7 linked regions of the Mus musculus genome follow. The protein of the gene in region 1 purifies or fractionates together with the protein of each later gene. This does not show direct contact. Links are inferred from orthologs where the notes say so. Each region holds a gene or a part of one and is shown on either strand. Other genes may lie near its edges.

Region 1 (3,998 bases):
GAAGTGACGGGGGCGGGGGAGGGAGAGAGGAGAAACAATTTATTGACATGGGGTGGTGAAACAAACTGCAATCAAATAAAAAGCAAAGACACTGGAGGAAAGCCTCATATTTACTGACATTAATTCTTCTGTAAATGTATTTGATACATTCTAAAAATAACATATGAGAAATTCTTTAGAAAAGCATTTGGTACAAACACAATTATCTTAAGTATAAAAATATTAAATAGTGGTTGAAAAAATTTAATTATAAAGCATATAAATACCTTAAATTAAGAAAACAAAAATATAATTTTTAAATATATAGTTAGTATCCATATTTACCTGATAGACCTTTGACCTCTGTCCTGTGAATCCATCCCATAGTATAACAGTGCCTTCATAATCACTGCTGGCTAGCAGGTTCTTATGGTAACTACTCCAACTGATACAGCTGAACAAAAGAAAAAACTAAACCTTTAAGATGTAAATAAGTAACACTGGGGCAAAATGCATTTCAGTGTGTTCAGGAAGATAAACACTCTTCAAATGGTCTCTATCACTTCACATAATTCAGAAAGAGATGTTAGGAATATCTAGATTTTCTGATTGATAGTAAACAATCAAACGCTGAAGTTTACCACTTTTTACTAAGATCACAGAGGATGACAGACAGAGCTGAGAGTTGCTACTGATCACCTCTGTAACATGTGAAAGGGTAACTGTTAACGACAATGATGGCTCAGAGAATGGTACGACAGAATGACAGATATTAAAAACTGTTGAGCCCCAATATTCAGCTGTGCCAAATCATGAAGCTAAACTAATGAGTCTGAATTGGATTTCAGTTTTACATTCAAAGGGTCTTGACCAATGCAATGTATGATTGAAATTCCAATTAAAATCATGCCACAGATTTAAAGCTTTAACATTTATGATTTTAGCTATTCTCTAAAAGTCTGCATCTAAAGCAATAAGCTATTGTTGTGACATATAGAGTTAAATCATGCACACTAAAATGTGTGGATTACCGAATAAAGCACTAAGAAAAGCAGTTAACATCCAAGAATGTATTTTGCACTCCATTGTATTTATGGCAAATTTTAGGGATTGGGAGGGGATCATCTGCATTTTAAAATAAACTCAGTTTTCCACTATGGATTCCGACAAACCTGCACTCTAATTTCAGATCTGGTATTTAATAGCTGCAGCTCTGGTTAACTTAGTGTATTTCATAACCGGTGAAATCAAACTGGACAGCTCTGTTAGTTGTGCTTAGGTATTGGTCTTTTCAGCCTGTAGGTTTTGGCCTTGAGCAATTTCAGGCATTTACTGGAATGTGCCATAAAGCACTATTCATTTGCACATGTGCCCATGATAAAACAGGCAGTAGCAACACTTAAAACTTATTACATTTTCCTTTATGCTGACTATGAATACTAAAATGAACCAAGTATTCTGCTTAGTTTATTACTATAACATTTTAAAGTACAATGTTATACAACTAATCTTACTGCAATGGCTATATGCTATAAATATGTACAAAGGGATTTAAAGAGCACAGACTCTAGAATTAAACTCCCTCACTCTGCACCGCTCTACATATTAGCTAGATTATCCCAGGCAAGCTATTTATTTTTGGTTTTAGTGCAATTCAACTGTAAGTGTGGGTAATAATGGTAACCATGTCAGATAACTGTTAAGAGCACTTAAGACAATGCCTAACACATAAGCATTTAAGAAATTCATTTTTGCAATGTAGTCTCTACTTAGGAATATAAAAAAAATCTCAAGTATGAAGCCACTATAAATGGGCGGGCTCTCAAACTGCTGTGTATGAATTAGTAAATAAAAAAGAACATGATACTAGTTTATCACTCATATTAGAACACACATATAAACACATATACCTTGGATTCGACTTCTTAATACAATGAATACTCAGAATTCACAAGAGTTAGAGCACCAATTCTGCTGGCTAAATGTACACAAACTGTTTCACACAAAGTATCCTCTCTATATACAACCAAAGCATGCTCTCTGAATGAGAAAGTCTCATGGAAAAAAATATACAATAATGTCATACTTAGCACTAATATGAACAGCTATATGTGTACGACTTTATGCCAAGAAAAAAAGAGAAATACCTGATTTTGGAATTGCAGGTCATTTCATTCTCAGGGTAATGAATATCCACTGCATCCTGGATGACTGTGCCATACTCATAGACTTTAATCTTCTTTGTAACTCCAGCAATTGCAAAATAGTCACAATCCCGGTCAAACTCAATACTAAAGGGGAAGGAGAGCACACATGTCATCTATGAGGCTATGTATCCAACCCTGTGATATTATCTACAGCAAATTTTCTGCATTTTACTTTTTTTTTCCCTATTTCCCTAGTGCTGAAGCTTAAACTTAGGGCACATATGTACACTAGACAAATATGATACCCCTGAGCTGTGTCTCCAGCTGACATTTTCCCTTTTTAAAGAGCTTCTATTCCTCCAAATAAGACAGCTTCTTCAATATCTTTAAGTCTCACTAGGTGACATGATCAGAATTAAGTCATCAAGATACTGAATTACAAGTGTCAGAGAACTGTATAGATCTGTAACTGTCAACATGAACTTTTGTTACAAGACACCCAGCCTGTTTTTCAGTTTAGCTTTAATAACCATATTACATCCTAGTATGGAAACCTTTAATAGTTTGAAATATTATGAGTGTTGAAAGAAAATTACCAATAAATTTTTTTCATAAATTCTTGTCATTGGTGACAAAGGGACAGACTATTCTCAAAAAAAGGAACTAAGTTATCATTACTCTACCTCAAGTCTATTCCTTATTCCCCAAACAAATACTATCTCTCTGAATTACAAAAAGTCACGGCATATCCCTTTTTACACAAACAGAGAATATAAAAAAACCCTCTGCACCTTTTACAGGACTTAGGGAATCCACTATGCTCTTGTAGCTTCTTTGAAACACAAATTTCAAAATAAGCTACTTCAGTGCAAAATACAAGATCCTATTCACTTTTGTAGAATGTAACTACAGCCTCCATACTTATCATACAGGCCAGAAATCTAAATTGCCTAATGCAGGTGAAAGTTGGAATGAACCTCCATATTCAATACTTCTCCATATAAATTAAGTGTTTTTCCTAGAGAAATTCTCACTGAAATAATCACTATTTCTCCTAACTACCATATGAGAAAGTTATTACTATTATCAACATTTTTAGAATAATGAGGATTACAGTAAAGTGATCTGTTCAAAGGTAGCTGACTTTTAAGTGATTTGAAATGATATTTTAATTATCAGGTAGTCTGGCTTCAGAGATGATGCCACTAATTACTATTCCCCCCCCCTCCCTCCCCCCCCCCCACACACACAACTGACAATGCAATGGTACTTGTGCTGGTTAGTTTTATAACAACTTAACCCAAGCAATTTCTTTGACATGGAGAATCTCAACTGACAAAATGGCCTCACGAGATTGGCCTGTAGGCAAGCGTGAAATTCATTTTCTTAATTACTGATTGATATGAGAGGGCTCAACCCATTGTGGTTCTCAGTGCACTAAGAAAGCAGGCTGAGCAAGCTATAGAGAGCAAGACTGTAAACACCACTTCTCCAAGGCCTCTGCATCAGTTCTGGCTTCCAGCTTCCTGCAGTATTTGAGTTCCTGACTTAACTTCCCCTTAATAATAGACTATGCTGTGGAACCATAAATGGAAATAAATCCTTTCCTCCTCAAGTTGCGTTTGGCCATGGTTATTTATCACAGCAGAGAAAGTATGACAAAGACACTACTGGTAAATGGCATCTATTGGAACTGAAATCTGATCTTTAACTCAGATAATTTAGAAACACCTAGTAACTCAAATAAGAATCAGTTATATAATCCTTGAATACATTCCCTCTATTTATAAACAGGTACTACTAAGAAATCAAAATAACTATAATATATGAGTGAAAGTACAGAATTAATAGGCAAATGACTAGTTTTTAATA
Region 2 (3,998 bases), on another chromosome or scaffold:
ACCACAAGGTGAGGAACTTGGAACAGGCCCAGACACTGGTGAACCTCCTCACACTAGAGACCCAGGCTGGCTTTGAGCTCTTTCAGAGGACTCTGGCCTTGAATACCTGATCCTCCTTCTACCTCTGGAGAGCTGGGATTACAGCCATGTGCTGTGGGTTTCTCTGTATAGCCTTGGCTATCTCTGTAGACCTCATTCTGTAGACCAGGCTGGCCTCAAACTCAGGCCTGCCTCTGCCTCCCAAGTGCTGGATTTAAAAACCATGTACCAACATTGCCCAGCTTTGGGCCATTAATTTTTTAAAAAAAAAATCTTATTGTGTGTGTTTGCCTACATAGTGTGGAGGGGCACTGCCATGGGCTCCGATGGAGTTAGTTTCCTCTCTCCACCTTTCCGTGGGGTCTGGGGGGAGCGCAGGCTGCCAGGTGGTGCTCAGTGCACTTCATGGGCCCTGCTTGCTCTTTTGAAAAATAGTTTTTTATTTATTATCTCATAATCTCATACATACATATATATGTGTATGTATATATGTATATAAATATATAAATGTATGTATACATACATATAAATATATAAACAAATATAATGCATATATACACATATATGTCACATATGTATTTATATTATATATAATATACATGTATATATGTGTATACACACACATATATATATACACACACATATATACACACATATATAATATATGTACATGTATTTATATATACATTATATATATTTAACATATATAATGTATTTTGATCATGCCCAATTTCCTTCTGTTATCCTCCTCTCCCTCCCATGGACCCTTTGTTCCCAACCTTGCTCCTAGCTCCATGGCTTTAGAAAAATGACCCACTGAGTTTAACTAGGGCTGTTTGCATGAGCATCGGGCAGGGTTATTCACTAGAGTATGGGTAATTTATGGGTGGCTACATCACTGAAGAAAAGTTACTCTCCTGCCCCCAGCACCTCAGTATTTCACTATTTCATTAAAGTCTCTCAGCACCCCGTGAAGTAGGTGATCTTCATTTTCCATCTAGGGGAAAGGAAGAAAACACAACGTTCCCTGTGCAGGTCCCCAGACAGCACACAGCACAGCTGGGACAGGACCCAGCAGTGCGTTCTGGGGCAGGTGCTCTGACCACTTATTCACACTGCTCATGCACATAGGTTGTGAAAAAACTCTTGCATATAAATAATGGAGCATACAGTGAGCACATCTAGCTGATGATAAATATACCCCCCTTCCCTCAAAAAATGCAAAATGGTAAATCTGATCATCCTTGTGTTGTGAACTTTTAAAAAAAATCAAAATGTTAAGGAAGCAAATGGTTTGTAACTTTGTAAGTACTTAAAACATGGTGTATCTTTTGCTTATGGATATTCTGTACTATAACCATTGTTTCTGCAGTTTGATTAAAGTGTTTTCTTGGTGTTAAAAAAAAAAAAAGGGCTGTGGAGATGGCTCAGTGGGTAAGAGCACTGACTGCTCTTCCGAAGGTCCTGAGTTCAAATCCCAGAACCACATGGTGGCTCACAACCATCTGTAATGAGATCTGACACCCACTTCTGGTGTGTCTGAAGACAGCTACAGTGTACTTATGTATAATAATAAATAAATCTTTTAAAAAATAAATAAAAATAAAAATAAAAAAAATCTTGCAGAAACCGGGAGTGGTGCTATACCCCTTTAATCTGAGCACTGGGGAGGCAGAGGCAGGTAAATCGCTGTGAGTTTGAGGCAGCCCTGGTCTACAGAGTATGTTTCAGGATATCCAGGCCCGTAGACAAACCTTGTCTCAAACAAACAAACAAACCAACCAAAATCAAAACCAAAACAAACCTTGCAGTAATAAACGACAGAGGTGGGCTAGGGCATCAAGGCCTGCCTTCTGTCTGAGTTGGGGGCCCTCCTCTGTTTCTGAGGCTGCCCCCCCCCCCCCCCGCAGCCCCCAGCCTCACCAGTTGTAAGCCAGCTGCAGCTGCAGCCTGGCATGATCTGCAGTTTCGATGGTGATGACGTCAGTGAAGAAATCAGGTCCCAGCAGCAGGCAGAGTGCACGACGGGCATGAGGACGCTTGGGTCGCCCAGCAGAAAGGGACAACACTGTGAACTGCTCCTCGGGATCCAGTGACACTAGCTCAGGCCCAAAGACCACACTGTGGAGAGAGCTGGAAGTCAGCCGCCCTGAGAGCTTCCCTGGGGACCCCGGGACCCCGCAGAGGCCTCTGCTGGCTCACCGGGCTCTCTTGGCTCTGTAGTCGTACACCTGCACCGCTGCGTTGTGGGGGACACGGTAGCTGACCACTCGGGTCTTGTTCCTTGCAGCTGAGGGCTGAAGGACCTTGGCTGTGCCCTTCTGACCCCTGTCAGCCAGAGGGTCATGCCCCAAGTTCAGCAGCTCCTCCACTCCAGAAGGCAGTTCCTTTTCCCACAGGACTTCATCCTGAGTCAGCATGTAGGTGCTTCCAATCACAGCCCGCACCTAGGGGAGGCATTTTCAGAGAGGGCAGGAGGGAGAACCATCATCCTTTCAGCCCTGAGCCCACCCTGCCCAGGGCTAGCACAGTGTCCTGGTTAAAGCAGGTGTCTGCAGGAAGACTGCATTCCAGCTTGGTTGCCGTCTGCTCGCTTTTTCTCAAGCTATTGCTCATGCCTCACTTGCTCATCTGTACAATGGGCCATCTGGGGTTTCAGAATGAGGAAGGGCTCACACGTCTAATTCAAAGAACCACACTTGGTATGTAGTAAGTGCCTGGTATTATTTCTAGGGTTTTCCTTTGCTGAAGCAATGTGGTGTGCATCAGAACTTCAGCTGTGATCCTAGGAAGCGCCTTATATACACGAGTGCTGCCTCTGGCTCTGAATTGTTTCTACATTAGAGTCTCAGGGGGAAAGTTGGCAGTGTCACCCCAAGTAAAACCAAGGTCAAGGTTTAGGTGAAGCAGCAAAAGTCCACCAAGACCTTTATGCTCGGACCACATCTGCATCAGGGCAGAACTCCTGTCCTAAAGCCTAGCCCATCCTCTCAGCTGGAGTCTCTGAAATGTAAAATTAGGTATTTAGGACAAAGATGACAAATGGAGTATGGCATGGCCACCTGGCTGCTGCTGTATGAGTCTTCTCCCAACCTGCCTCTCTCCATCAACTCTACCTGCTTGCCCAGAGGAAGCCACCACCGGTACCTCCCATCCCACAGCTGGTACCTTTCCCGTCTTGACATCCTGAACATAGATGCCCTCATTTTGGTCCAGAGGGATAGCCTGACGCTCTTCCACCACCTCCACTTTGGCAGATGGCACATACTCCAGGGGCCCTCGGATGAGCCAGCGGTCTCCAGCCTGGTGGGCGACCTTCTCCTCCCCCTCCCCCTCCTCCAGGGGCTGCAGCGCCTTCAGCAGGAGCCCCTGCTGCTCTGACAGCACGTACACATCCTGGATGCCTCGTTCCAGCCTTTCTCCTGGCTGGAGGAAAAAGGACTTCTCTCCCTAGTGGGAAAAAAGGGGATGTTAGGTCATGGTGTCTCTCTGGCCATACTGCCTCAATATAGCCTCCTGGCTTGCCACTATTGCATGACCTTGAGCCAGGTCTTCTGGTGGCACTTTCCCATTCCCATACTGTGTAGAGGGATTTTAATCCAGCAATATAGCTACTCGGGCTGAAATACAGACATGCCCTTAAAACACACCTTTAATCCTAAACAACGACAGTAGAGTTAGTTTGTACAAGGAAGCACCCATGTTTGAAAGTGACATCTAACTAAATGGCAGACACTCAGAGAAGGATTTGACAGAACAGGATATGCCCAACCCTTACAAGAACAGAGAAAAAAATGAGAGGCTACTTAAGAGAGAGCAGCGCAGAAAGCAAAAAAGGAGGTTTAATGGGAGCCTTTTACAGAGATAGGTTGTAGAGAGAATACACTAGACACGGGTGAAGACAGATTGAGCGAGAGAATGAGAAGGAGCCAGAAGATGAGAACAGATTGCCAGAGTTA
Region 3 (3,530 bases), on another chromosome or scaffold:
TCTGAATTATGAGTCAGTACATTGATTTCCCATGTTTCTAGGAAAGAGTGGTGCCTTTTACTTGTGGGTAGCAGTTGGGGTTCTATTGAACCTGCTTGTTTTTACCTGAGCCGAGTCCTGGAAAGCTGGCTCTAGATCCAGACTCTGTCCCTCCTTCTGTCCCTCCCGTTCCAGAGCTGCTCCTCGGTCCGTTTCCCCCACCTGGGAGTGGTCTTAGGAGAATGTCTGTCACTGCCACCCCACTAAAGAGCCTACTCGGGACCTGCTGTCACCCCCGCCCCTACAGTTGCTTGCTTTCTCCTTTTCTAGTCTCCAAACACTTGTTTCTGAGCTCAGTAAAAGCAGCAGCCTGGAGTTTGTGTAGGAGGAAGGACAAGCAGTTGGGATGAACATGGGCTCCCAGTCACTGGAGCAACTATGGTCACAGAAGCCACAGACCACGTCTTTACCCGAGGATGTTTCTAGGGACAGGCTAACCGTGGCAAGGCGTGGTCTAGAAGCCCTGCTGGGTTAAACAGTACACTCCATTATTTCTAGATCCTCACACGGTCCTAGGTTAGGTAAGAGCAGAGTTTCCAAAATCCATTTTCTAGAGGAAAACCAACGGCAAGGGATTTCCAGAAACGCAAGTGAGGGCCTGAGCTAGACTCCAGGAACAGGGCATCAGGTCCTCACGGAAGGCCTTGTAGGGGACAGACTCCAAACTCTGGTCAACTGCTGCATGGCCATAGCTCTTCCCACCCCAGGTCCTTGCCTCATGGAAGCAAAGAGCAAATAGAAACAACCGGAGAAGCAGAGGCTTTATTAAGGTCTGGCATAAGAGGCAAAGGTGGAATTAGGCCTGGGTAGGCCTAGGGCAGAGAGCCATCCCTACTCTTCCACCCAACCCCCCCCCCCAGCTGCCGCCCACATGCTCCTGCCTCCCAGAGCACAGCACCAAGAACACAGGACCCCCCTGTTCAGGGCAGAACCCAGGCAGAACTTTGTCTCCCATGGGGGGTTGGGAGAGGGGAGACACAGGGTGTTCTGAGAATCCCCTTGGCCCTGTTGCCATAATAAACAAGGGAAGTCCCTGTATGTCCCCAGAATAGAACACTGGATCTCTGTGGTGGGGGTGAGGAACTTGGCCTCTGAGCAAGACCTAGGCAGAGGCCAAGCTGAACTGAAGGTACAGGTGAGCCACAGCGAACTTCGGCTACTGCCTTTAGATTTGGCCTGCCTCCACTGTCTTTCCCGCAGACTCTGGTTAGCAGCTGAGTCTGGCCAGGAGTATCAGATGGGATAGTGGAGCTCTGACCCCAGAGACTTCTACAGGCATCAGAAAGAGGGCCTTCACCAATACCAAATCAGTTGATATATACACTGAGCAACCCCACCATGTCAAGGGGAAGCCACTGGTGCCTAGTAAGAATATCCACCTCTGTGGCCGAAGGGCGGAGCGGGGCCAGTGAGTTCTGGGAGGTAGGCAGGACTCTCATCCAAGTGGGACAAAGGGACTGTGTCCTCCTCACTGACTGGCCGGTCAAACTCAGCCTTCAGAGCTGGACGTTGATTATCTGGGAAGGCCAGAGAGAACAGGGCCTCCGGCTCGCACACAAACTTGTACACGTAGCGTTCGCCAGCCACCTGTGGAGAGAGGGTTGTCAGGCCAGACACGAACGCTCTGCCTCAGTAGAGAATTTGGAGACTTTCCCCTTCTCATGGGCCACAAATATGCACTAGGACCTCTTTGCCTCTTACACTGGTTCTTCTTGAAACCCACTCCCTTCTGGTTCTTGTTCACGTCTCATCTCAATCATAGCACACTTGGGACTATTCATTCATTGTCTAGCAACTTTACAGGGGAACCTAGGGGTTTACATTTTCTGTTCTCGAAAACCTGCTGAGAATGCCCGCCTCCCCCCCCCCCCACACACACACCCCACCTGACCTTCTCTTGACACACTTTGAACCCTTAGCCACCCCTGGCCCCTCCTTGTGGCCGTGCTAGGACCTCAGCCCAACCTTCTGCATGATGCCTTTCTCATAATAGTATCGCAGCGAGCGGCTCAGCTTGTCATAATTCATGGCTGGCCGGTTCTTCTGGATACCCCAGAGCCTGGCAACCTGGGGGACAAGAGACAAAAGGATTTGGGTGGAGATGCAATCTCAGAGGAAAAATAGCAGGGGTGGGGTGGGGAGTGGGACATTTGAGGTTCTTGGTGCGGGGACAATCTAGGCTAGTCACCAGCACAATGCTGACTCTGGCTTGGCAAGAACTGGGTCAGGCAGACTGAGGACAGTGGTGGAAGCAAGTGCCACCATTTCTCCTCTCAGGGCTCCAAAGGTGCCGGACAGGAGGGGTGGGAATACGTAAGACCTACCTCTTCAGGTTCAATTAGTTTAAACTCCATTCCCCGGCCTGTCCAAGCAATGAAATGAGCATTTGTTGGGTCATCCAGCAGGGCCACCAGAAACTGCCACAGTTGTAAGGCACCCCGGCGCTGGTAGGGTGGCCCCTCCCGGAAAGCTCCAATCCCTTCCTGCTTGATGTCTCCTGGGAAAGTGGAAATAGGTGTGATGTACATATGCCCTAACCAACTCCCCCACCCACCCATGTGGCTTCCCCAAACTCTTCCCCGAGTGTCCTGACTTCTTCCACTAATGAAATGGGATTCCTACAGGACCCAGTATGTGACAGGAGTGAAGAAGACCCTGACCCTCCTACCAAGTCACTTCTCTGACCTTCAAATTTTTCAGGGACAATGCAGACATCATCTGGGAATGGTCGAAGGGATTTTTCATAGCCATAACCTTGTGGAGGAAAGATGGGGATTGCTCAGATCTGAGGGTTCACTGTTGAAAACCCTAGAGAATGCAGAGAGACTCGTAGCCTGGGTGACTCTTTCCCCCATAGCTAGGATCCTGCTGCCTTACCCATCACTCCATCACCTGGAGAGGGTCCAGAGAAGCCCTCTGGGTGGAGGTACATTGATGCACATCCAGGGACATCTGGGGGAGGGAAGAAAAGGTGACATTGTAAGTGGCTGAGGTGAAGCAGGGGAGGAAGGCCTGTACACATTCAAGGAGTTGGTGCTGCTAGCCTGCAATCCAGTGACCATCCTTTTCCCGCCACTAAATCCCAGGGGAAGTTCACCCAGAGGGAGCTGCAAGCTGAGGCCCTCAGTTTGAGGGCAGGGGCAGAGGGTATGGGTGGCAGCAGCTGGGGCCAGGCAGGCTGTTCTCAAGGCCCAAGATTCCAGGGAGCAGCTGTTTTCCTGTGAGTTCAGGGGAAGGAGGGGGTGAGAGATGAATCTCCGGGGGTTGGGAAGGGTTTGCCTAAGACTTCCTCGGAATGGGCACATGTCCGGTCGTCAGGTCAGGTTCCAAGCCTAGTACCTCCATGCCTTTGTGTGTGTGTGTGAGACAGAGAGAGAGAGAGAGAAAGAGAGAGAAGAGTTGGGGTGGAGGTGGGGGATGTATCTATTTAAAGAAGAGGCAGTGGGCTCTGGTCTGTTTTTTTCCTCAGGTATAAGCAGGTTCTACTGTGT
Region 4 (3,998 bases), on another chromosome or scaffold:
TGGCTTTTGGCTTATTGCCCGTTTACTCTTTCTGTTCAAACCAGAGGGCCTTTCCAAGCCCAAAGGATCATTCTTAGCAAAGAAAAGGAAATAGCTGCCCTGTATTTTATACACATGGGACAACCTGTCTCGTTTTACTAGTTTCCCATAAAGCAAAAACAAAACGTTGAGATCAGCATCATCAAAAAGATCTGACTCCAGGAGGCGCCTGCCCTCTGGGAGCCCCTCACTGAATTTGGAGCAGAGAGCAATGTCTACAATGTGAACCCTCTTCCTTCAAAAGAACAAAAACCAGAAAGGAGTTGGATTTTTCTTCTTTTCCTTTCTTCTTCCCCTGAACTGTGATAATACATCTGGAAGTTTGACTTCTGATAGTTTCCTGCTACAAAAACCAGCTGATACAAAACAGAAATGTCTGTGGAGGAACAGACTCCCCCTCCCCGTTCAGGGAGCAAAGCGTTAATGTGTTACTTCCTAACCAGAATAGGACATCGTTTATTTAGAAGAAATGAATTGGAAAGTGCGAATGAGAGACGACAACTGGAACTTTTGTTTTCTTTTAGTTTAGCACCCAGGTTTCAGGTCAGTCTGTGTGCACCGAATTATTATTATTTTTAGGTGAATCTTATTAATTATTACATAGGTGGTTGGTCTGTTCCAAAAAAAAAAAAAAAATCTTCGATCAATTGTCCCTTCCCTGAATCGTAACAAGAAGTTAAATGCTAACAGTGCAATGCCAAGGTAGGTGTTTGAGGCAGAAGAGTTTGGATTCTATCGAGATCTGCAACTATTTCTGAACAAAATGAAAAGTGGGGTAGAATAGCCCTACTGGTAAGGGGGACTCTCAGGCTACCCCAGGGAAGAGAAGCTTAGGGGAGGGGCTCCCGTCCATCTGAACCCAACCCCCATCCCACACGTCTTGTTCCCATGCTACGTGTTCCGTCAGCTCCTAGAACATATTCCTTCTCTGAACCAAGAAATGTGTAAATATGAATGTCCGTCTTGCTTCTCAGCCAGGCCACCTGTGTCCCAGAACTCCTTTCTGGGGCTCTCTCTTGCTCCTGGTACCTGCTATGTGTCCCTGGGCCTTGAGCTCAGTTAAAGAAAGGGTCCAAGTTCTCCTCCATGTTGACGTCTGGCACCAGCTGGTCACACGCCTCTTTAGCACCAAATCCCGAATTTGAGACACTAAAATCTGTAGAAAACCAAGGATGGTCCAGAATTTCCTGCGAGGTCAGCCGCTCTGACGGCTCCCGTCGCAGGATGCTTCGGATGAGGCACTTGGCCTTGGGAGACAGAGTTTCTGGAATGTTGAACTGGCCCCTGCGGATCTTACTGAAAAGAGAACTAGGCTCAATGTCATGGAAAGGGTAACGCCCCACCAACATGGTGTACAGCATTACCCCCAGGCTCCACACGTCCGCTGCCTTGCCCGAATAACTGCCGCTGGTGTTCAAGATCTCTGGGCTGACATACGCTGGGCAGCCATGCTTGTCAGAGAGTGAGTCATCATCACCCCGGAGAATGTAAGCGTCTTCCAAACTCTCCAGCTTGACACGAGTCCTGTAGGAAAGAGACAAAGACAGAAGCTCCTAAGGATGAGGGAGACACATCCATCGACACATCCATCCCATCGGTATATCAGGGTTGCTGATGTTTGTGCATCCATCCATCCATCCATCCATCCATCCATCCATCCATCCCTGTAACAAGCTGGATGTCACTCATAGCACAGAATACTGAAGCTGGGGGTTTGAGTAATTTTCTTGAAGCCTTCTAGCGTGGACAAGAATTCCTTACTTTGCCTTCTGGGTTCTTTAGCTGTACCCGCCACTTTTCTTGGGACACAAGAAGAAAGGCAGGGAGAATTTCGGCTCAAGTGGTCTCCACGACCTACTCATCTAAGCCTAGCATCCAAATACCAAGTCCATCTTCATTTCCAGATTTTCACCTGCCCTGGCCCGCCTGTCATACCCCCAAAGCCTTGGGTCCTTGACCTGGCACCTATCACTAATTACAGGTGCATGGTTCGCATGTGACTGTGTGTCTGGGTAGATGGGTGTGACAATAGCAGTGTGTTGCCAAGAGTCTTCTCAAACTATTTATCCCACCTCCCAATCCACCGACTCTTCAAGAACTCAGCAACTTATCTATACAAATATGCAAGCCCTAGATGTGCTAGAAGGAGTGGAGAAATACATGTGAATTTCTGGCCCTAACACCTAGCTTACATCACCTATATGACACACACACACACACACCACGCTTCATCATTGAGTGTGAAATAAAGATATACACTATGGAAATGGAAAATCTAGAAACTAAGATGACTTCTTAGATCAATCATATTAGTGCAAAACAAACTGCTGCTGGGCGTGGTGGTACACACCTGTAATCACAGCACTTGGAAGGCAGAGGCAAAGATCAGCAGTTCAAGATTAACCTACACAGCAAATTGGAAGCCAGCCTGGGCTTTGTGAGACTGGTAAACATACTCCTTCCCTGTGTTTGAAATGAAAACCCTTTTCTCTTAGGCAGACAGAGCAGAGCACAACCCTTTGAGTAGGTAGTTCTTACCACACTCCTGGAGTCCTGCTAAGATGGTAGCTAAGGACAGTTGGAGCTGGAATTGGGCCTCTGGGGTACTTAAAAGACCCATAAATTCACATCACTTATCCTTGTCTCTCAGTGCATACATCCAGGCCTTCATCCTGCTTGAGTGCATAAGCTAAAGGGTTCAAATTAGCAACAGAAAGTGTCTGGACAAACTACAATGGGGTCACCTTGGTCATCACTCACAGCGTGTAGCCCAAGACCATCTTCCTCTCATCTTCTTCCTTTTTTACTCTCTGTACCTACAGATCTCAGTCTCTCAAGGTAGTCTGAAAAGTCACCTATGGCAACTAGTTAAGGAGAGCTGCTGGGAGCTCAATAGTAGAGAAGATGACAAAAGATGGGTTGCTTCTAGGATCTTCTATGAACATGTTCCAAAAATCAAGCACTGATTGCTTTCCTAGACAGTGTGGTCTTTAGGGGTGCAGACTCCCAGTCAGGCGTATCTCTCACCAACTTCAGCTGTAGCTCCAGCTAAGTCACTCAATCTCCCTTTAAAGAGGAATACTGCAGAAGGCTGTGTTGTGTTGTGTGTGTGTGTCTGTCTGTCTGTCTGTCTGTCTCTGTCCCTGTCTCTCTCTCTCTGTATGGTTTATTTTGAGGGTGCTGTTTTTTTCTTTTAATACAATAAATTTTACATTAAACGATTCACCATCATAACCATTTTTGAGCATCCATTTAGTTCACTCATGATATCCAGTAATCACCATGCACCCACCCGCACAAGGCTGTCTCTGTGCCAGATCTAACATTCCGCAATACACAGCAACATGTAATTCCCTCTGGCATTCCCTGAGCCATCTTCTACAACACCCCTACCCCATGCCTGCTTTCGAATGCTCCTGAAACTAATGGCCTACGAAACTAAGGAGGCTCTAGCTGTGTTAATCTGGAATTGAACTGATTAAAGACAAATCTTTCTTTCTCCAGCTTATTTCTCTTAATAGGAGGTGGCAGGTGGCAGTGACCCACCCACTGGTCTCACCAGATGTTCCAAACTGCCCAGAGAGGAGACTATGAAGCCACAGGGAGGGAGGGAGGAAAAGAGGGAGGGAGGGAGGGGATTCTGAGTAACATATACCAGGGCTCCTCTCAACAGCTCCTTCCACCTCTAGCTTCCTTGATTCGGCAGCAGAGCAGTTGATGTAGCTATGAACTGTAACCTTGGAAGTAATTCCTACTTCTGTGTGAATGGCTACCAGTTCAGGAGGAAAAGTTGGAGACAGAGGGTTCAAGTTGGGGCAGGATTCTCATTACAAATCCCTCTAGGAGTGCCCTAGGTCATCCACATAGAGGCCAGTGTCCTTGTCATGTCTGCTGATTGATCCCATGTCTGTGTCCCTACCCTCCGAGCCTAATCTATCTGTGTTACACACTCTTCTGAT
Region 5 (4,648 bases), on another chromosome or scaffold:
AGCCACTGGAAGGGCTGCTAAGGGGCTGCTCTTTTATTAATGAGTTTCTCTAAAGGGAATGTGGTACTCAGGTCCATGGAACAGCTGTCTGAGCCCCACACACCATCCCTTCCAGAACCATCATCAGAAAAACAGTCCCCGCATTCGCCGGCCAATGCCTTGTCGGTCGTAGAGGACGTTGAACTTGTTCACAAACTGGTTCATTGTGTTGCACGTTTTGGTGATGGTGCCGAGGTAGGCCATGAGCCCCACGTCATTGCATTGCTGGGAGGGAACACAAAGAACCAGTTCCCCAGGGGTCCCTCGTATTAGCCAGTGACACTTGAGTTTCACCTCCTACCTGTGAGGTGGTGTGAGCCCCACCTCCCCATCAAAGGTGTCAACACTCACATCATAAAAGTCTGTCTTGAACTTGTCAGTGCTGAGAACTGGAAGACAGTGACATAGGGCATAGGCCTCCCGCAGGATCTCATGGTTGAAGGGAACCTCTCCTAAGGACACAAGGAGGCTGCACTGATGTGGATGCTGTCACTTTTCCAGGAGAGGAAAAATGTTTCAAAGTGACAGGCACCTCTCCTACCTGCTTCAGAGGCCTTGACATATTCTAAAATGAGCTTCACACGGCTGTGCAGCATCTTGATGGCACTATGCTGAGCTATCAGGTGTTCAGCCACTGCAGGGGAATGGGGCAAATGAAGGGCGGCCTGTGGCCACACCCAACCCCTACCTCCAAAGACTGAATTCCCCTCCCTTACCAGTGGAGTTCTCCCCACTGCCTGTTGCTGTCATCCGGGCCACGTGGTCTACACCGATCCGTTCAGCTTCCTCAGTGGCCAGAGTGTAAGTGAGCTCAGCAAACAGCATTGTGGCCTGCAGAGTAAAGAGTTCTCAGATAGGGAGAGTCAGGAAACAGACCTAGGCCTAGGCAGATGGCTCAGCAGGTAGAGTACTTGCTGCACAACTGAGGATCTCAATTTAGAGCCTCGGAACCCACATTAAGTGAGATGTGACAGCATGTGACTGTAATCCTGGAACCCCTACAGCAAGATGGGAAGTGGAGACACAATTCCCAGAAGCTCACAGGCCAACCTGCCTGGCAAACAAGTGAGTCTGTCCCAAGGTAGAAAGCTAGGATGGACACCCAGGGTTGTCCTATGCCTGCACACGGCATGCAGGAAACAGGCTAAAAGGTTTGAAGGTTGCAGGTTATATATTACCTCTCCATTGATTATATCGATGACAGACTCAAAAACGCTGACAGGAAGCTGTAAAAACACAGACGGAGACAAGAGAACAGCTCTTACTAAAAGCAAATGCACTTGAACTTACACACATGCCAGGCTGGCTTTGAACTCACAATCCTGCCTCAATCTCCTGAGTGCTAAGATTGGTTACAAGTGTTGTCACCACACTTGGCTCATGCTTTCTCTAGGTTTTACACACATTACATATGGAAACACCACTGAAGAGATGAAGTCACACAACTGATGGGTGTAAACAGCAGGGTAGAGATTCAACTCAAGCTTTCTCTAATACACATAATGTCGGTAAATTAGAGCAAAGGCATAGTGGCAGATGATCAAGAAAAAGGGGACATTGGGTCAACAACACTCACATCTGTGTGCTTGGTCATAGGGTTCAACTTCAGAAAGAGCGGACTCTCAATTATCTCACACACCTAGAAGATAAGGCAAAGCCCAGGAAGAGTCAGTATCTCCTCTTCCCCTAACCTTCTGTTCATTTCCCCAACATGCACATATTTGAGCTTCTATACCTGCTTATGGACGTGGATGTCTGAGGGGTCAGGTGGCCCCCCTGTGGTATACCAACCCAGAAACTCCAGCTCCTTGAAAACCTGTTTAACTGGAGAAGAAGGGGCCAGAGTAAATATTCCTTTAAACCTCTCTTCCTTAGTTTGATGGGCCTGGTGTGTTCTTTCCGGTTCTCCCCTCCCTCCTCATATTTTGGGTCAGTTTAAAATAACTACACCTAACTAACCTTGAACTTCTGACCTCTTGCCTCTATCTCCTGGGTTATATGGTACTGAGGATTGAACTCTGGTCTTCCCGAATGTTAGGAAATGCACTTTACCCCACTGCCCTACATCCTCAGGCCTTTTATTCTTTAAGACAAACAAAACAAAACAAAAATCTTCCCACTTTTCCTTCCCCACCCACTTCTATTCCCCTCTCACACTGCTCCTCCTTGGTGTAATAATATTCTTTGTCAATGATAATCTTCTCTTCCACGGTGTGGGACAGCAGCTCAAAGGAGTTCATCACTTCGATATTTCGCCCCTCCTGCTTCCCGATCAGAGCCCCAATCACTAAGGGGAGAGAAACAGAAGCGCAAGGAAACTAGGTGAGGAACAGGCGTCTCGGAAAACCTTTCCCGAGTCGGCGTGAATCAACGACTGGGGAAACAATAATTTGGAAGAAAGGGCGCAGGGGAGTGACTGGAGGAAATCTCCAAGAGATTTTGAGATTTACACACAACACTCACCCTGCATAGGCCGCCCCTCCTGGGAGCGCATGCGGATCCAATGGTCTGAGATGTTAAGGATGACAAGGGGATGAAGAGCGACGGAAACACTCCCAGTCACTCCGGAGGCCATCACGCTGGGGACTGTTAAAGGTGAAAGGAAAACATAGCGGCTGAGAGCTCGGGCCCACACATTTTCCCCTAGACATGGAAGCAGGGGACCAGCAGAGCCCGGCCGTCCATCGCTGCCCTCAAGTTATCCTGGGACAGGTTTAAGAAGTACTCAAGACCACTTCTCAAGGGCAACTCCAGAAGTCGGTCTGCGCACCCCGTTACCTGCTGCATCCACTTCCATGCCGCTGCTGCCTCCGCTCCCATTCGCCCCCGCCGCAGCTGCCGCCGCCATTTTCCCCGCGCCCGCCAGCCACGGCCCGCCCCTTTCCTTCTCGGCTTCCGTCGGGGAGCGGTGCATGCTCAGTGTATACTTGGTGCTGCTAATGGGCGGGGCAGCTGCCAGTACTTAGTAGCTCAGGGTGCTCTGCGTGTTGTGCTGCTGCTAGCGGTTCTCATGTAAACCAGCCTGGCCATGAGTTCTGTAGTGTGTATCTGAAGATGGCTTTGAACTTTGATCCTCTTGCCTTTACCTCCCAAGGAGGGCTATTAGTTTCCAGGTCTCAAGTGGATACACTGTCAATACTAAACACAGAGAAAATTGCGATCAAAAGGAGGAAAGGCTGTAAAAGGGAATGGGGAAGACAATTTATTCAGGATATAAAATTTTTCATGTTGCATATAATCTATAGAGACTTGATCACTTGTTTGTTGAGATAGGGTCTTACAATGTTGGCCAGCTGGTGGGAACTTGCTATTCGTCTAGGCAGACTTCTAGGAGATCCGCCTTCCTCTCCTTCCTGAATGCTGAGATTAAAGGTGTGTACCATACCCAGCATGCCTAGCTTTTAAAACGATGTACTGAGGATCTAAACTCAGGTCCTAACACTTCATCCCCTGAGCCATCTCCCCAGTAGTAATTACTCTTGAATTGTTCAGCTTCTTCAGTTTCAAGACAACCTCTTTACACAACTTAGCAACTGCTATTGGGAGGGCTTGTGGCCCACGCCTTTAATCACAGCCTTTAATCGAGGCGGGCAGACCTCATGAGTTCAAGGCCAGCCTGGACTACAAAGTGAGTTCCATCACAGCCAAAGCTACACAAACAAACCCTGTCGCACAAACAAAAAAAAAAAGGTGGGGGGAGGGGAAGAGTTGCCTTGGTCATGGTGTCTCTTTACAGCAATAGAACAGTGATTAAGACAATTACTTGTAACAAAAAAGAAAACCAAAAAAAAAAAAAAAAAAAAAAGACAATTACTTGCCCAGCATGGTGGCACACGCCTTTAATCCCAGCACTTGGGAGGCAGAGGCAGGCGGATTTCTGAGTTCGAGGCCAGCCTGGTCTACAGAGTGAGTTCCAAAATAAAAAAAATAAAAATAAAAATAAAAATAAAAGAAAACGTTTCCTACTTGGACAATAACTAAGGCTAAGCGACCTGCTTAAATAGCCAAGAAAGAGTATTTGGTCCACAATCATTCATTTGGGGCCAATAACAGCCATTTTTTTAAATTTTTATTTTGGTTTTTCGAGACAGGGTTTCTCTGTATAGCCCTGGCTGTCCTGGAACTCACTTTGTAGACCAGGCTGGCCTTGAACTCAGAAATCTGCCAAGTGCTGGGATTAAAGGTGTGCGCCACCACCGCCCGGGCTACTTTTTATTTTTATTTATTTATTTTTTTTACTAATCACAGTCACTGAAGTATGTGCTTTGGACCAATCATGGCTTTGCACTGATTCGCAGTAGTCCTTCCACTAGGGAAAGGGCTCCCTTCCTGTCACGCTGGAAATGCTTTCAGGTTCATCTACATTTCATAGGGGTCTATGACAGCAAAATATCTGGTAACAACTATGTCAAATACACTGGAAAATCAGCTTCAATCTTTACACAGCTGTCTCAAGACTTCTGTTGTGTGTCCCAGATTGCTGGTGCTAGTCTAAGGGTCATCTAGCTAACTTATGAGACTGACAGTCCTTTTCCTCAGGGCAGCCTGGACAGTGAGAGAGATGGGTACAATAGATGATAATTAGATAGTTAAGTTGCCCTATTCCCAA
Region 6 (4,136 bases), on another chromosome or scaffold:
GCTGTGTTCTGGAAAGATTGCACTTGGGGCAGCCTGACTCTCAAGTGCTAGGTTCATAAGTGCTACAATGCCCCTTTTCTTTGTGCAATGTGACATAAGTGCCAGCTATCTCCATGGAAAACAGCCAAGGACTGAAGGAGTCAAGAAAGCAGACATTCTGCCAACAGCTTGGAGAGCCAGACTGACCTGCCCTGAAACTACCCTGGTCACTGACCTGTCTTTATGCAAAGTATGTTTCTTCCAGTTTAAACTGATGCCCTTTTGGGCCAAGGACAGAACCCATAACCCTGAATATGTTAGGTGTGTGCTTACACGTGAGCCATACCCCAGTGCTCAGCTTAGAAAGCTCCCCACTTGAGACCCAAGGTCTCTAGAAGAAAAGGCATGTACAGGAAGATCAGTAGAGGAATTTCTTCACAAGCCACTTGGTAGGGGCTGAGCTGTACCTGGCTTTCATGGTGGGGCCAGCGTTGAAGAAGAGAAAGTCACCAAGGATGTTTCACATATCAAACCACACAGCTCTCTTTTATTGGGCACATGATGAAAATACACACTTAACCAGACCAAAGTCATCAAACTGACTGTGGGCCTGGGTACTAAAAGTCCCCAGAACAGGGCCTGAGATTGTCTGTAGGCAGTAGGACAGACCCTGCCTGGTCCTCCCCCTCCAACTTTGGTGCTTCAGCCGGAGGCTACCAGGGTAAACAGACCCGGATCCTTATTCCAGACTATTCCTTGAGTCAGATGCCTCTTTATTGGAGTCTCATCCTTTTGGCTTGAATCCCACAGCCAAGTCTTCTTCAAACAGGTTCTCCTGCCTGGAGGCCACAATCCCAGCCCGGCCTGATTTGTGGTCCTGAGGCACATGGTGAGTGAGGACTTTGGTCTTTGGCACAGAGATGTTTCCTTTGTTTAAAGGCACAAGACAGAAGGCAGCTGGGGCACTGATAAAAGGGACTGTCCCATGAACCAGCACCAGAGAAGACAGCCCCGGTAGGAAACGTGCCCAAGGCAGGGGCTGGCCGGAGAGCATGCGGCACTGTGGCAACTTGGCCAGCAAGGTATATTTCTCCCTCTTTTTCCTTTGCTGTTCACAGCACCTAGAGCAGGGCGTGGCACTCAGGGAGCATCACCCCACTAGGCACAGGAACGAATAAGGCACGCCGGCTGTTTCTTCCTCCAGAAAGGCACTTAAGGTTTAGCTTGGCCCAAAAAGTCAGGAGAAAGCTGAGACTCAGGTACTCAACTCACACCTTGGAGCTGAGGGGCCAGTAAGGTGGCCCTAGCCGTACAGCCCCACCTCCCCTTCCTCAGCCTCCTCCAGCTGTGGCCCATCTGGGACCACCTGGTCCATCTCCCTTCGGTCAGACTGTGGAGGAGAGACTCGGCCGTGATCCTCTCTCAACCAGGGATGCAAGAGGATTCCCAGGGCCACAAGTCGCTCTGAAGGTTCCTTGCGGAGGAGACAGCGGATCAGACAGCGGGCTGGGGCTGATAGGCCCTCAGGCAGGGCAAAGGTCCCTCTACGGATCTTGCCAAAGAGCAGGACTGGCTCAGAGTCGTGGAATGGGTATCTGCCAGCCAGCATGGTGAAGAGCGCCACACCCAGGCTCCAGACATCAGCCGCTTTGCCAGAGTAGGATGGCCGGGAGCTGAGTATCTCTGGTCCCACGTAGGCAGGGCACGCATGCTTGTCCCACAGAGAGTCATCTGATCCAGTCATCACGCAGGCATCTTCCAGGTTCTCCAGCACCAGCTTCGTCCTGGGTCACAGACAGAAAAAAAAATCAGGTCCCACTCAGGTCCTCTGGAATAGCAGCCTCCTCTCCACTCTCTGTCTTGTACACTGTCCAGTCTGGGCTAATTACTGTCCTCATGCCTCTGCCTCCTGAGTGCTGGGATTACATGTGTGGGCCACCATGCCGAGCCTCAGTTAGTTTTTTGTTTGTTTGGTTTAGTTTGCTTTTGGTTTTGATGGGTGAGGGTCTCACTATATAGCCCTGGCTGTCCTGGAACTCACTCTGTAGACCAGGCTGACCTTGAACTCAGAGATCAGCCTGCCTCTGCCTCTTGAGGGCAGGGGTCCAAGTCCACCACCACTTGGCCTCTTTCTTTTTGTATTTATTATATTTTATGCAAATGGGTGTTTTCCTGCTTCATGTGTTTGGGCACCATGAAGGCCAGAAGAGCCTGTCAGATACCTTGGACTTGGACTTACAGGTGGTTGTTAGCTATCACGTGGATGGGTCCTCTCTGACCCACTGAGTCATCTTGCCAACTCCCCCATCCCCCAGCACACACTTTTTTTTTTCTGAGACAGGATCTCACTACATAGCACTGACTGGCCTGGAACTCACCCTGTAGACCCGGCTGACCTCCAGTTCACAGAGATCCACTTATCTTCCCCTCAGCCAGGATTTAAAGGTGTATGCTACCACCCCCAAAATAAGATATTCCTTTTGTCCTTATTTAATTTGAAACAGGGTCCTTCACTAAACCTGTAGCTCACCAATTGAATAGACTAGCTGGCCAGTGATCTCTGGGGACCCACCTGTCTCTCCCCCGAGCCCAGTTGTTAGGGCTACAGATTTCACGGCACAGGCAGCGGTCACTCAGTGCTGGAGGTTTCTTTCCCTGTCTTCTTTTGCTGCTGAGGATGGATCATGAGCCTTGCACATGCTAAGCATAAGCTATGCTTACCTTAGCTCTTCCTAAGTTACTCTGCTCCCCTGGATCTCAGTTTCCCCACTGTGGCCTACCTCTCAAGTGTGCCTCTGGGGTCACACTCACCTCTCACAGTTGCTGAAGACAAAGCGACGCAGCTTGAGGTCGCGCAAGACAAGCCCGTGCTTGTGGCAGTGTGCCACGGCACTAGCCATCTGCCGGAAGAGCCCGGCAGCCTCGGACTCTGGGATACCGCGGCGGCTGCGCACCAGGCTGTGCAAGTCCCCATGGGTCTTCGTGAAAAAGATGTAAAGGAGCCGAGAGCCCAGCAGGACCTCTGTGGGACGGGCCACATGCTGGTGGGTAGGCAGCCGGGCATAAGGTGCCAGCACCGCCTGGGCCTCGCTGGCAGGGTACACCTGGAGACAGAGTCAGGAGTAAGCACAAGGGACCTAGCAAAATGGGACAGCCAACTCTGTGAGCTGTGAGCTACACATACAGAAGCCCTTGTTTAGCAAGTCACTCACAGCCAAATATCAACCGAATATCCGCAAAGCCACACAGGTCAGGAGACCCCGGGGTCACAGGGCCAGCAAGTAGCATATTTGGGACTAGAACCCATGCACCAATCTCTGCTCTAAGCTGCCACCCTGTGTGATTTAGGCCTCAGAAACTAGGATGTAACCCACACAGAAAACCACTCGTGGAGGCAGATCACCACCATAGCCCCCCTTCTCCCACACATCCAGCATAAGAAAAGCCAGCTCAATGGCCTGTCTGCAGCCCCTGCCCAGCTGACCAGACTCACAGCCATTGCCCCTGTTCTCTTGGTGTCCACAGTACGGCACAAGCAAACCCCAAACCATATATTCCAAAGAAATAAGAAAGATAGCCGGGCGTGGTGGCGCACGCCTTTAATCCCAGCACTCGGGAGGCAGAGGCAGGAGGATTTCTGAGTTCGAGGCCGGCCTGGTCTACAGAGTGAGTTCCAGGACAGCCAGGGCTATACAGAAAAACCCTGTTACGAAAAAAAAAAAAACAAAAAAAAAAAAAAAAAAAAAGAAAGAAAGATGCTAAAATCCAGAGTATTTTATATTGCTATCTTGGAGACCAAACACAGGACCAGTCTTTGCTAGGCAAGTGTGGGCTGGTATTTTAGAAGGGAGCACCTATTTTAAAAAGTTCGAGCCGTGAGCTGGAGAGATGGCTCAGTGGATAAGAACACTGTCTGCTCTGGAAGAGGTCCTGCGTTCAAATCCTAGCAACTACATGGTGGCTCACAACCATCTCTAATAGGATCGGATGCCCTCTTTTGGTGTGTCTGAAGATAGTGACAGTGTGCTTATATATAATAAATAAATAAATCTTAAAAAAAAATGTGAGCCTGCCATGGTAGCATATTTGTCTAATCCCCAGTACTCAAGAAGCAGAGCCAGGAGGATCTCTGAGTTTGAGGCCATTGAGGCCAGCCT
Region 7 (4,649 bases), on another chromosome or scaffold:
CTGTCCCTCTCTCCTCTTCCTTGCCCCTGCCCCTAGCATGTGGCAGTCCCACGTGGAAATTCACAGGTGTACTGCAGAGAGTCTCTACCTTGAGCCACCACACACATAAGCATGGTGGAGCACACGTTCATCAGCGTGACCCTCCCTGCTGAGGCTAACTCAGGTTCCAGAGCAGGCTCATCAGTGGGGACTCCAGAGAACACGACATACATTCCCTCCAGTTCATGCTTTAAATGCTACTTCTCAGCCCAGTGTGGAGGCACAAATCTGTAAGCCCAGACACAAATTTGAAATCACCCTGGTCTACAAAGAGAGACCCTGTCTCACAAGGCCGAACAATATTATTTCTCAGTAGTTCTGCTTTTCTGGGGGCTGGGGCAGGGTTAAGACAGGGTCTCTTTATGTAGCCTTAGCTGTTCTAGAACTCACTACATAGACCAGCATGAACTAGAACTCATGGAGGTCTGTCTGCTCTGCCTCCCGACACTACCAGGGCTAGCTCTGCTTCTGCTCCTAGAGAAGGCTTTAGGGGAGAGACACATCTGCAGTGACGCTGTCCAGCCTGGGGAAGCCCCATTCTCTTTTCAGATAGAATACATAAACTGCAGCGTGCTCTCGGGACCCCTCAGAACAAACAGCTCCGTGGGACACAGCTCTACTAGCTCCTGTCAATTGCTTCAAGTGGGTCCCAGAAGCTCTCTAGCCATTTGCCACGAAAACTACCATTCACCAAGCGTCTACTGCACACTGAACGCTGAGTCCTAACTCTGTAACATCTGTCTTGATCCTCACGACAGCCCTATTGCGGAAGAAGTCCTACTGTGTCTTTTTACAGTGAGAAATCTGGCTAGCTGAGCAGGGATTAGAAGTAGACCTGTTTGAGCCAAAAAAGCTCTTAACCGCTTCAAACTACTGTCTTCTCCGTTAAAGGCACAGGAGAGAAAATGAAACCCCCCTTACATCTGGGAGGAAAGTCCTACCTTGCCATTGCCAGCAGCTTAAACAACCTGAGATCTCAGAGAGAGAAGAGCACTTTGGGGAGCACTTGAAGGGGTTGTCCACCTAGCACTGACCACACGGTGCCTTCTCAGCACAGGTCCAGTAGGTCTATACTCTCTTCTTGGAAGCATGTGATGGTCTCTGACGAAGTGTCTAGCTCTCTCACCCTCCTCAACTCCTCACAGAGAATGCGATCTAAGATACAGATCTAGTCCTGTCACTCCTCAGCTAAAAGCTTACTGGCCTCTTGTGCACTAGACACAAAGTTCCAAATGATCCATGAGATGTTCATTTTTTTTTATTAACTTATATTGCTTTACTTTGTGCCCTGTCGGCTTCCATACCACTCTACTGACACAGCTAAGGTTGTCTCTCTCTGACTCTCTGTACTTCTCTCCAAATAGCATCTCCCATTTTACATGACTAAGCCTCCCTCCCCCTTTCTGTCCTTCCAGTCACTATCCTCCTGTCACTACTGCTCAGGCTTCCCAGACTGAGCTAGCAGCTTCCCCACTGGGCTCCCTCAGCATTCAGTTTCTGTTGCTTTTGTAGATCACATTTCACCTATCTGCTTGCAGGTCAGTTTCCTCTAGCTGGACAGTGAACTAGTTCGGATAAGAACCTCTTTATTAGGTGTTAGCGCAACTCTCCATAATGACTCTTTTTACCATGGCCAGTGGTTTGCAAATGAGGACGAATACAAATGACCCAAGGTCGGGCAACCAGAAAGCAGCGGCACCAGAATCTGAATTTAAGGAGTCCAGAGCAAGGTTGACACACACTTTTAATCCCAGGCTTTAAGGAGTGAGCCTCCAAAGCCTACGAATACTACACAGCACTAGGCTCTACAGGCAGGGCCCTTTTGTTATGAGAAAAATGAATGAATGAATGAATGAATGAATGGGGACTATCTCTGGCAGAGATAGTCTAATCCACAATCAAATAACAGGGCCTTTAAGGAGGAACTCACAACGTTGTTTATAAATAAGGGCTATAGGATTTTGCTCTTCCTTATCTCATGCAAAACTACTCAGCCGAGAGGGAAAGGCGCCCAGCCCAGCGTGACTACCCTCTTCCTCAATGATTCTCAAAACCAGCAAAGCCAACCGGTTTCCTCCAGTGACTTAAAACAGAGCAAAGTCTATCCTGCCACCGAAGGTGGCTGTCAGCTCTTCCTTCTGCCAACAACCTGGGGGAGTGGGGGTGGACGGAGAAGCCACCGGGAATCCGAAAGCTCCTACCCAAGATTGAAAGGTGGGGCCAAGCATCGTAGGAATGGGCGGGCCTGACCAGGATGGCAGGTGAAACACTGACCACAGCAAGCTCTCCCACGGTGAAGACCGGCCCAACGTGGATCTGGCAAGCAGGTTGCTGTGACTCGCACCTGAACGCCGCCCAGGATGTGAAAATTCCCCAGCAGCGATGGTGTTGGTGCCAACGGGTGAGGGCTCCAGGAGGAAAACCTTGGCTGGCTCTCCTTGGGGACTCGTTCTAACTTTCAAGTCACTCTCTAGGTCAGGAGAGAAGCATGGAGAGGAGGAGCGGGTCTCTCTGGGAGAAAAACTAGAGCGGGCCAAACGCCGGCTGCTTCGATGACTGGTTGAGTGGGTCTGGGCAAGGCGAGCAGTGCCCATTTCCCAGGGCTGCGGCAAAAGACCGAGGCTCCCGGCAGCCGACGCCCCCGCTGCCGGGAAGGACAGACCTCCAGTGGCGGAGGGGGAATTCACTATAGCCGTTCTGGTCGCGCCGGTCAGCTTCGGGCTGTCACCGGGGTCCCTCCGCCACGGTGGCCCGCCCCGCCAGCACGCAGCCCCCACCCGGCTCCGCGTCCCGGGACCCCGAACTCACCTTTCCCGGGGAATCAGCGCTCCTTGCCCATAGTCCGCAGCCCAGAGTCGGGGCTGCTCGGCGCTCCGTCCCGGGGGCCGGGGCCGGGCCGGGGGCGTGGGAGCCGCTCACCGCCGCCTCCCAGCGCAGCCGCCAGAGCTGCCGCCGCCGCCTCCCTCCATGGCTGCGGCGCCGCCACCTGACAACGGAAGTGACGCATAGGCTCTCGGCCCCGCCTCCCGCCCCCTCGCCTGAGTTTGGGGTTGGTGCGCCATCTTCAGGATGGGCGGAAGCCTTCAGGCAGGAAGCCCAGATAAGATCGCCAATTGGTTCTGGGTGGAGTCTGGGTCGAAATCTGTAAAGTGATTGGACAGTCAGGGGGCGGTACTTACCGCTAATCTACATCTACAGTGGGACTGGGACAGAGGCGCCGGTCCGCCTTGGCTCTGCAGAACCTCACCGACTTATGCTCTCCTTGCTGGGGTTGGGGACGTCTCTAAGTGGTTGCAAAACCCGCCAACTGCACTGCATTCTTTAGAAAAGTAGTCTTTCTTTGCTCCCCATTTCTCGGCTTCTGGAAATTTGTGTGGGAAAGTGCTGAAGTTGGGTACAAGAGAAGTCAAGAATTGGCTGTCGCTACTGTCACAATTCATTTCACTTTAGGCCCTTCAGAAACCCCAAAGATGGCCAAGTTCATCTTGGACATCCCTAGAGTCTTGTCCAGGGAGATTGCAGTGAAGAGTTCCAATGAACGACTTCAGCCGGCTGTCTACCTCACTCCCTCCTGCCAGTTTCCGTCCTTTCTCCTCCTTCAGCAGCCACGCCCTCCATGAATCAGCTTCTTGCACCAGCAGATGAGCCCTTTAAAGGGATTGCATCAGTCTGGTGACTCACTGGGGGCCCTCGAAAATCCTGGCTTCCGTCCACTGCCGTGTAGAAGCGGCCAGAAGGGCTCGGTGGCAGCAGTACCAGCGGCCATAGTCCCACTCCTTTGTCTCAGAGTTAACAAGTGTACTTGATGACACTCTTCCCTCCCCTGGGTCATTCTGGATCCACGTGTAGACACACGTGGACACGACTAAGCCCTGCTAGGACACCGAAGGCTGGTCTTCATAATGAAGTCCCAGCCTGAATCCTTTCTTAATGTCTTTGATTGGCTTGGTGGCCATTCAGCTGCAGATAATGCTGAATAACTAGTAATGATACCAGCTCCTAAGGCCCTGTCTTATGCAAAATGAGGCACTTTTAGAGACCTGTTAACAAATGCAGAAGGTAGCACTCAGAGAGAGAGGGTAACCTCTGCCGTGACACCCAGCTAATAATGGCTGGGCTGTGGTTTGAAGAAAGTTTCGTGGGTTCCAAAAAGGCTAGAGCTTGAATCCCCATTGTATCACTTACAAACTAGGTAATTCAGTGTAAATCCTGGCTGCCCAAGTGGGGATAACACATTACACCAACCATGGGAGGACCCAAGGAGTTTCACATCCAGCTAACCACACCCTATAGATGCCCACTGGTCTCAGTCGGGGAACCTCTAGGAGGCACGTGACTCAAAGGCAGGCATCCAGAAGGCCGGCCCACTTTGCTCCTCTCTCTGACAAAGTGAGGAGAAAAAGGATTCCGGAAGCCCTGCCTTTGACAGGGATGAATCTTGGGTTTTCCAGTTCACTAATTACCAGTAAGATGAATCACTGGGCGCTGACACCACCATTCCAACTCCTGGTAGGCTCTCAGCTGACTCAAAATATAGAAGTTTTAACAAAGCAGAGGAGGAGAAAGTGCCAGCCAGAGGAGATTAAAAAAAAAAAAAAACTGTCATCAGG

What was found.
Region 2: the proteins of Cop1 (region 1) and Mvp purify together in Homo sapiens (affinity purification with mass spectrometry; 3 studies listed by BioGRID and IntAct, with this or other methods). This does not show direct contact. The link is inferred for Mus musculus from reciprocal best matches to the Homo sapiens genes COP1 and MVP.
Region 3: the proteins of Cop1 (region 1) and Etv4 purify together in Homo sapiens (affinity purification with mass spectrometry; 5 studies listed by BioGRID and IntAct, with this or other methods). This does not show direct contact. The link is inferred for Mus musculus from reciprocal best matches to the Homo sapiens genes COP1 and ETV4.
Region 4: the proteins of Cop1 (region 1) and Trib2 purify together in Homo sapiens (affinity purification with mass spectrometry; 4 studies listed by BioGRID and IntAct, counting the BioPlex papers as one, with this or other methods). This does not show direct contact. The link is inferred for Mus musculus from reciprocal best matches to the Homo sapiens genes COP1 and TRIB2.
Region 5: the proteins of Cop1 (region 1) and Cops6 purify together in Homo sapiens (affinity purification with western blotting; 3 studies listed by BioGRID and IntAct, with this or other methods). This does not show direct contact. The link is inferred for Mus musculus from reciprocal best matches to the Homo sapiens genes COP1 and COPS6.
Region 6: the proteins of Cop1 (region 1) and Trib3 purify together in Homo sapiens (affinity purification with mass spectrometry; 5 studies listed by BioGRID and IntAct, counting the BioPlex papers as one, with this or other methods). This does not show direct contact. The link is inferred for Mus musculus from reciprocal best matches to the Homo sapiens genes COP1 and TRIB3.
Region 7: the proteins of Cop1 (region 1) and Stk40 purify together in Homo sapiens (affinity purification with mass spectrometry; 3 studies listed by BioGRID and IntAct, counting the BioPlex papers as one, with this or other methods). This does not show direct contact. The link is inferred for Mus musculus from reciprocal best matches to the Homo sapiens genes COP1 and STK40.

What each region holds. Positions count from the first base shown.
Region 1 is NC_000067.6:159,304,845-159,308,842, reverse strand, and holds part of Cop1 (E3 ubiquitin-protein ligase COP1), read right to left. Parts: intron 2,271-3,998; coding exon 2,127-2,270; intron 434-2,126; coding exon 325-433; intron 1-324. UniProt on the Homo sapiens protein: E3 ubiquitin-protein ligase that mediates ubiquitination and subsequent proteasomal degradation of target proteins.
Region 2 is NC_000073.6:126,990,313-126,994,310, forward strand, and holds part of Mvp (major vault protein), read right to left. Parts: intron 3,490-3,998; coding exon 3,208-3,489; intron 2,487-3,207; coding exon 2,242-2,486; intron 2,161-2,241; coding exon 1,963-2,160; intron 1-1,962. UniProt on the Homo sapiens protein: Required for normal vault structure. Vaults are multi-subunit structures that may act as scaffolds for proteins involved in signal transduction. Vaults may also play a role in nucleo-cytoplasmic transport.
Region 3 is NC_000077.6:101,768,965-101,772,494, forward strand, and holds the end of Etv4 (ETS translocation variant 4), read right to left. Parts: intron 2,992-3,530; coding exon 2,917-2,991; intron 2,794-2,916; coding exon 2,725-2,793; intron 2,537-2,724; coding exon 2,364-2,536; intron 2,107-2,363; coding exon 2,005-2,106; intron 1,627-2,004; coding exon 1,402-1,626; 3' UTR 784-1,401; downstream 1-783.
Region 4 is NC_000078.6:15,792,514-15,796,511, forward strand, and holds part of Trib2 (tribbles homolog 2), read right to left. Parts: intron 1,564-3,998; coding exon 1,095-1,563; 3' UTR 1-1,094.
Region 5 is NC_000071.6:138,159,352-138,163,999, reverse strand, and holds Cops6 (COP9 signalosome complex subunit 6), read right to left. Parts: upstream 2,899-4,648; 5' UTR 2,888-2,898; coding exon 2,818-2,887; intron 2,626-2,817; coding exon 2,503-2,625; intron 2,327-2,502; coding exon 2,195-2,326; intron 1,864-2,194; coding exon 1,775-1,863; intron 1,679-1,774; coding exon 1,616-1,678; intron 1,266-1,615; coding exon 1,218-1,265; intron 871-1,217; coding exon 756-870; intron 674-755; coding exon 581-673; intron 492-580; coding exon 391-491; intron 265-390; coding exon 124-264; 3' UTR 16-123; downstream 1-15. UniProt on the Homo sapiens protein: Component of the COP9 signalosome complex (CSN), a complex involved in various cellular and developmental processes.
Region 6 is NC_000068.7:152,336,925-152,341,060, forward strand, and holds the end of Trib3 (tribbles homolog 3), read right to left. Parts: intron 3,084-4,136; coding exon 2,791-3,083; intron 1,764-2,790; coding exon 1,283-1,763; 3' UTR 501-1,282; downstream 1-500. UniProt on the Homo sapiens protein: Inactive protein kinase which acts as a regulator of the integrated stress response (ISR), a process for adaptation to various stress. Inhibits the transcriptional activity of DDIT3/CHOP and is involved in DDIT3/CHOP-dependent cell death during ER stress.
Region 7 is NC_000070.6:126,102,345-126,106,993, reverse strand, and holds the start of Stk40 (serine/threonine-protein kinase 40), read right to left. Parts: upstream 3,038-4,649; 5' UTR 2,848-3,037; intron 1-2,847. UniProt on the Homo sapiens protein: May be a negative regulator of NF-kappa-B and p53-mediated gene transcription.